Linked DNA regions of Sus scrofa. The protein of the gene in region 1 purifies or fractionates together with the protein of each later gene. This does not show direct contact. Links are inferred from orthologs where the notes say so. Each region holds a gene or a part of one and is shown on either strand. Other genes may lie near its edges. The genes, in order: CASP9 and DCC.

The links.
Region 2: the proteins of CASP9 (region 1) and DCC purify together in Homo sapiens (co-immunoprecipitation; 3 studies listed by BioGRID and IntAct, with this or other methods). This does not show direct contact. The link is inferred for Sus scrofa from reciprocal best matches to the Homo sapiens genes CASP9 and DCC.

The regions. Positions count from the first base shown.
Region 1 is NC_010448.4:74,716,321-74,720,139, reverse strand, and holds part of CASP9 (caspase-9), read left to right. Parts: coding exon 1-20; intron 21-418; coding exon 419-508; intron 509-1,688; coding exon 1,689-1,836; intron 1,837-3,819. UniProt on the Homo sapiens protein: Involved in the activation cascade of caspases responsible for apoptosis execution. Binding of caspase-9 to Apaf-1 leads to activation of the protease which then cleaves and activates effector caspases caspase-3 (CASP3) or caspase-7 (CASP7).
Region 2 is NC_010443.5:102,715,013-102,718,831, forward strand, and holds part of DCC (netrin receptor DCC), read left to right. Parts: intron 1-468; coding exon 469-617; intron 618-2,490; coding exon 2,491-2,629; intron 2,630-3,819. UniProt on the Homo sapiens protein: Receptor for netrin required for axon guidance. Mediates axon attraction of neuronal growth cones in the developing nervous system upon ligand binding. Its association with UNC5 proteins may trigger signaling for axon repulsion.

The DNA.
Region 1 (3,819 bases):
AGTGCAACCTGACTGCCAAGGTGCGGTTCCCTGTCTGTGGAGAGAGCTGGAGGGCGGGCGGTGCCCTGTGAGGACGATGAAAGCACGCAGCTCCCCAAGACAAGCCGTCTGGTCTGCAGGGCCACGGGAGGTGGCGCGGCTCAGTGGCTACCTGTGCAAATGTCAGACTCAGAGAGCAGAGTTGGGAAGCAGCTGTCCCATCTCCCGTGTGATGCCTGGGCCTGGGCTTCCCTGTTGAGACAGCAAGGGCAGCGCTCACCTCCTGGGTTCGTTGTAGGAGTAGATAAGGAGCGCCCGGTGCAGCCTCTCCTCCCAAGGGTGGTAGCTGTTGAGATTGCTGTAATTACTTCATTATGGAGCCTGGGAGCAGGGGCGGGCAGGCCTAGGGTGGGGACCTGACCCGTCAGTGTTCTTGTAGCAAATGGTCCAGGCTTTGGTGGAGCTGGCGCGGCGGGACCACGGCGCTCTGGACTGCTGCGTGGTGGTCGTGCTCTCTCACGGCTGTCAGGTAGGAGGCTGCGCGGAGAGGTCATGCGGGAGTCTGACCCTTCCTGTGTCCAAGACACCCTGGCCTTTGTGGGAAGAGCCGTAGGGCCCTATCCATCTCCCATCATTTCCTTGGGAACCAGTTGGCCCTCTGAAGAGCTGGGTGCTCCTCCTGGGTGGGGTGGTGTCCTGGGAGGAGCTGTCTGGGAGAGCCAGTTTCTGCTCATAAGCTCCTACCCCAGGGCTTTGTTCAGAGCCAGGCACAGCTTGTAAGCGCTCCCGGTTCCTGCTTTCCTGCTCGGCCCTGCCGGGCACTGTTCGGGGCCCTTTGCCGCTGGCTGGGAGTCAGGGCCCTGGAACTCACCCTGGCTTTGGCTGCTAAGGTGCGGGGTCATTGTGGCCAAGCCCCTCCCCCTTCCCATGCCTCAGTTTCCTCATCTTTCTAGTTGAAGGATGGGACAGAGCAGACGTAACAAGCTGGCACCTGGAGCCCCCCCCCCCCCTTGTGCTGCATAGTGTTTTCAAAACTGGCAACTTTAGCACAAGAATCAGGATTTCCATCTTCCTTTGAGAAGCTGTAAAGGTCTGACCTTATCAGGCCAGCATCCTCATGGAGTAAAGAAAGCTCCAGCCTGTGGCTGGGCTGCCCCTTTGGTCCTTCCATCCACAGTGTGGCCCTTAGACTGGCAGCACATGTCACCTGGGGGCTCATGGGGATACAGACTCTTAGAGCCTGTACCTTAATGAGAGGCCACGCACGGAGAGTTTGAGAAGAACTGGGTCTGGACTGGTAGTTCTCAGTGTTGTGCTGCAGCAGAGGTGCCTGAAGGACCAGATTGCTCATCCTCAGAATCAGAGGGTTTCTGATTTAGGAGGTCTGGGTGGGGCCTGGGAATTTGCATGTCTTTAAGTTCCCCAGTGATGCTGTTGGTCCAGGGACCACGCTTGGAGGACCCCTGATCTAGAGGGAGCTGGCCAGCACTCTCCAGTCAGGCGGGCTGGTGCCTCTAGTCATGTGGGTTTGAGCACCCTGGAAGAGAGTGCCCGGGGCCGCCCAGCACCAACCTGCTTTGTCTAACTCAGCCTTGTTCCCTGGCTAGGACCTTTTAAATGCTTGGCTCCCACAGAGCCTCTGTTTGAACAGGCTGTTGGGTTCCTACTCTCACTTCTTGGGTTGGTAACCAGGATTCTTGGTCTTCTAGGCCAGCCACCTCCAGTTCCCAGGGGCTGTTTATGGCACAGATGGATGTCCTGTGTCCGTGGAGAAAATTGTGAACATCTTCAACGGAACCAGCTGCCCCAGCCTGGGAGGGAAGCCCAAGCTCTTCTTCATCCAGGCCTGCGGCGGGGGTAAGCGGGTCCTCGGCCTCCCTGCCCCGGTGTCTCGTGGGGAAGGAGCCGCCACCTGCTTCCTTCTCCATCACGCCTCACAGTGTCCCAGGGGTTGATCCAGGCAGGTCCTGGACATGGTCACTGCTGCCCAAAGGGGGCACCTTTCTGTCCTGCCTTTGAGTTTCATGTCTTCCGTCTCATGGCACAGTAGCATCAGGGGATCATTCAGCTTTGGCCACTTCAACCCCAGAGACTTGGCAAAAGCAAACAAAGCAGAGGAGAGAGAAAATGTCTTTCACTTTCCTTATTATTTTCCCAGTCTCCATCAACCACTGTCCCAGAGAAAGGGATTAACTATAGGAATTACCTAAAGGAATTCCCAAGGGCTCAGGTACTGAGGATTCAGTAACTTTTTTTTTTTTTTGTCTTTTGTATTTTGGGGGCCATACCCGTGGCATATGGAAGTTGCCAGGCTAGGGGTTGAATCGGAACTGCCTACACCACTGGCCTACACCACAGCCACAGCAACATGGGATCCAAGCTGCGTCTGTGACCTACACCACAGCTCATGGCAAAACCAGATCCTTAAACCACTGAGCGAGGCCAGGGATCGAACCCGCATCGTTGTGGATACTAGTCAGGTTCATTAACCACTAAGCCACAATGGGAACTCCAGGATTCAGTAACTTTTAAACATTATTTAGATTATTTATAGTTTTGCTGTATGTCCTGATTTTATTTCTTTTTTATTTTATTTTTATTTTTTATTTATTTTTTTGGGATGCTGCATACAAAATTTCCCAGGGTAGGGATTGAACCTGGGCCATAGCAGTGAACCAAGCTGCAGCAGTGACAATGCTGGATCCTTTATTTTTTAAGTTTTTTTTAATTTAAAATTTTATTTATTTATTTATTTTTGTCTTTTTGCTTTTTTCTGGGGCCACTCCCACGGCATATGGAGGTTCCCAGGCTAGGGGTCTAATTGGAGCTGTAGCTGCTGGCCTATGCCAGAGCCACAGCAATGCGGGATCCGAGCCTCGTCTGTGACCTACACCACAGCTCACGGCAACGCCTGATCCTTAACCCACTGAGCGAGGCCGGGGATCGAACCCACAACCTCATGGTTCCTAGTTGGAATCGTTAACCACTGAGCCATGACGGGAACTCCATTTTTTTTATTAGAATTTTTTTTTTTTTTTTTTTGCTTTTCAGGGCCGCATCTGTGGCACATGGAGGTTCCCAGGCTAGGAGTCTAACTGGAGCTACAGCCACTGGCCTACACCACAGCCACTGCGAACCAGATCTGAGCCACATCTGCGACCTACACCATAGCTCATGGCAATGCTGGATCCTTAACCCACTGAGTGAGGCCAGGGATCGAACCCAAAACCTCATGGTTACTAGTCAAATTCGTTTCTGCTGTGCCATGACAGGAACTCCCTGGATTCTTTAAGTGCTAGGCCATCAGGGAACTCTTATATATCCTGATTTTAAACCAAAGCCCTATTTTCACCTTAGTTTTCTTATAAAATAAAAAAAAAGAGGAGGGACAAGAAAAGTACATTGTATGTCCTGCCTTATGGGACATGATGGCAGAGGTGGGGAAAACTGGGAATTCTGTCCCAGGGACAGTGTATCCCTTGTGCCTTGGTCTGGTCTGCCAGAGAAGCGGGCATTGTTATACCACAGAGCTGTCCTGCTTGCCCAGGAGGGGGCCGTGCATGCCAACGACCTGTAACACGGGCACCGTGGCATTTTCTCCTCCACACATTTATCTGTCCCGTACTATTCCATGGTGGCAGGGATGGGGTTGGGGGCTGTCGAGGAGGCCAGGCTCTGGTCATATGATCCATCCAATAAGTGTATTGGCCACCTGCTGTATATACCAGGCTGTGTGTTAGGTCCTAGTGATACAGGACAGATGGGGCCTCTGTCCCCTGTAATTTATAATTTGCCTGGAACTGTATTAAGTCACACTCATGACCCACACCTGGCTACTTA
Region 2 (3,819 bases), on another chromosome or scaffold:
TAACGACAATGATGTGGTAAATTACCCATAACTGTGCTGCCTATTTAAATTATAAGTAGGACTATGATCTACAAGTATTCTAATTACATTTTCTCTTTTCTTTCTGCAGTTATTAGCAGTACACAGGCAAAACCATGCTGGAAAAGTGACAATTTTCCCATACTGAGAATTTAGATTCAGATCCCCACTCTTCTGCCATTACCCTAGTCATTTATACTCCTTGACTAGTTTCCTCAACTGTAAAAATGAAATAAGTAATTTAGATTAATGTAAATCCTCTTCTGAATTTTAAAATGAATGATCCTAAAACTTCATTACTTTCTATGCATATTCTATGTTTTGACGTGCTTATTCCATACAGTTCTAAAAGTAGCACATGCTGCTATAATTTCCTTGAACTGTAAAAGATATTCTGTTTGTTTTGAGAAAGAGAACCTTCTTGGACTAATCAATTTCTCTTGTAAACAGTGCAAGTTCCAGGACCAGTAGAGAACCTGCAAGCTGTATCTACCTCACCTACCTCAATTCTTATTACCTGGGAACCCCCTGCCTATGCAAATGGTCCCGTCCAAGGTTACAGATTGTTCTGCACTGAAGTGTCCACGGGGAAGGAACAGGTAGGCAAGATAATGGGCCCCACTCCTGCCACCTATTTGACGATGCTATGACTGGAGAAATTGTGAGATCTACATGCTCTTGATATAGTCCTGTATCCAGCACTTTAAGTGGATGGCTGATCAGTTTTAAAGCACTCGTCATTTAAACTGTTAAGCAATTGAATTGAATGCTGGTGGTAAGAGAGGCAAATGGGCAGTGACATGAAGTCAACATAAAGGATGCTGATTTTGTTTGAGCATCTAGTGGTCTGAGCCAGTGTAAGCACCTTTGAATGAGCCCATCTGGTGCCAGAAAATATTTGATTTTCAGTCCTTATCCTAAGGGATGATCAACCCTGTATTCAATGACCTCAATCAAATTGCTTTTTTCATTCTTCTTTTCATCCATATGTTTGATATTATTTCTACCTTCTCCTCACCGTGGGCCTGTCACCAGTCGCTTCTCATTGTTTGCAGTATACCTTATTCCAGAAGACTACCTTTTTCTTTCTTCAATTTTGCCTCTAATCTGTGGTGAACACATATATTTGAAAACAGGAAAATTATATTTTCAGATTAAGTTACAATACATGGGTCTTTAGGGAGACACATGAAACTTGGCCATTCTATTTTGTGATTTACATATTACTATGGAGATGTTTACTTTCAGATTCTTAGCTTCATGTAGAAAAAGATACACAGATAAGTGTATAAATAAGAAAGACCCGGATGTGACCCTAGGAGAGTGAAATTCTTACAATATGTTGTGAAGTTTGCCAAGCATATGTTTCCACATAAACTGCACGATAGATATTTTTCATTAAAAAAAATTCTATTCAGAAATTTTTTCCCTCATGATAATTACCAAGAACTTCTCCTATGTATTCATTTACTCCAATTGTTTTTTTATTTACTGTTCCCATACTCCTATTTAGCTATTTTCACTGTTCTAGTCTATCCTTTTTTCTACATATTTTAGTTCTCTAATAATGAATTGCACAAATCCATTTAATTAATTATTTAATTTATGGCCACACCTGGAAGTTCCTAGACTAGGGGTTGATTTAGAGCTGCAGCTGCCACAGAAATGCTGAATCTGAGCCACATCTGCAGCCTATGCAGATGCAGCTTGCTCTCTATGCTGGATCCTTAACCCACTAAGCATAGCCAAGGATCGAACCCACATCCTCAGGGGCGCTATGTTGGATTCTTAACCTACTCAGCCACACCAGGAACTCCCAAATCCATTCAAATAAATTTTAAAAATTAGTGTTACCCTGGATAGATATTACGTGTGAGAATCATCATGGAGAGCTAAATAATGGCTCTTCTAGAGTGAACTGGCACTGATTTTTCAGTGGCCTTCACCTCCAGGAACTCATTTCCATAGCTGTGAAGTGCTGACAGCATTTCCAACTTCAGCTCAAAGCATTGTGAGAGATAGCCATGGTAGCAAAGTATCTGTCAGTTTCAAGCATCCTGGGTATATTTCAGCGAGAGGAGGAAGAAATCTATTGTTTCTTGTAAATTATTCCATTCAGGGTAAAGGAGCAGCTCTCTGTTCCCATGGATTTACAAGCTGCCACCTTCTTGTCGGGGTTTTGGTGTGGGTGTTAACACCACACAGCCTTCAATGTATTGGGTGATGTTGAACAAATTGGAGCTTAATGACTGTAAAAATAGCACAGTGCTATTTTAACTAGGAGTCTACAGAGTGGTTTTGGTTTTAGTGGGGGAGTGTGGATCACAATTTCGGTTTTACAACTCATAATAAGACTAGAGGGTAGTTTTGTGAGTAAGAGTCTCATATCCAATTCACTGATTGCACAGAATGGCTGCCATTTCTGCTTTAATGTGCCTCCTGAATAACACTTTTGGTGTTTTATGTCTCCAGAACATAGAGGTTGATGGACTCTCTTATAAACTGGAAGGCTTGAAAAAATTCACGGAATACAGTCTTCGATTCCTGGCTTATAATCGCTATGGGCCTGGAGTCTCCACTGAAGATATAACAGTGGTTACACTTTCTGATGGTAAGTTATAAACGGTGAAATTTGACTCACCTTTTTGTTATAATAGTGAAGTAATACTGTATGTATGCCATAAATTCCATGGTCAGAATTTTCTAAGTAAAACTATGAAATATACTAGCCTAAACTAGAAATTTTGCTAATTCATTCAAACTATCTAGTACCGTCAAATTTAAACTTTGAAAAGATATACATTCTGAGTCAGGATGTTCTAATTAGTCATTCTCAAAGTGTGATTACTGATTAAGAGCTCAAGATAATTTTTTGTGTGTTTTGTTATTCCTATGAATACAAACACCTTTGTGCAGGTGTGGGGACTCATTTACATTAGTATCTTTTTGTTCTCCTTCTAACTGATGGTAGGTGATTAGAAGTGTAAATGATGGACAGTTCTCCAACATATACCTCTTTTTTTTGGGGGGGGTGAACCTGGGGCATATGGAAGTTCCCAGGCTAGGGATCTAAGCAGAGCTGCAGCTGTCGGCCTATGCCATAGCCACAGCAACACGCGATCTGAGCTGCATCTGTGACCTCCATCACAGCTCAAGCTGGATCCTTAACCCACTGAGCAAGGCCATGGATCAGACCTGCATCTTCATGGATACTTGTCGGGTTCTTAACCCACTGAGCCACAAGGAGAACTCTCTCCTAGATATACCTCTTAATTTGAAAATAAGTCTTGAAAATTTAGGCCAAATAATCCAGCATTGAAAGTATTGAAACTGAATATGTTTGAAAATTTATACTTTTAGTTGTACCTTGCCTAACAAAGGAAAGATTAGACTTATTTTTTTAAATGCCATGAAAAAGAGGAAGAGATCATACGGAAGAGGATGAATTTGACAAAGCAGTATCAGAGAAAACTAGAGATCTAAGAAATGAATGAAAATGAAATATTGGGAAGTTTAATGAAAAGTGAAAATAAAAGCACAGCAAAGCATAAGATATGGGGCCAGTGACAATTCAGGCAGGTGCAAAAATGTAGAGATGTGACCTCTATGAATATTAACAAGGCAGCAAGCTATTTCCTTTCAGCAACAGTTTCCATGTTGGTGTGTGTAATTCTATAAATTATTGATCTTTTGAATTTCAGAAAAAAAAAATGACTTTAGTTTGTAATTCCTTGACCGATCCACTATTCTTTAATCTGGGAAAATATCTGGGTGGATATTTCATAAAAGTGAAATGAGGAA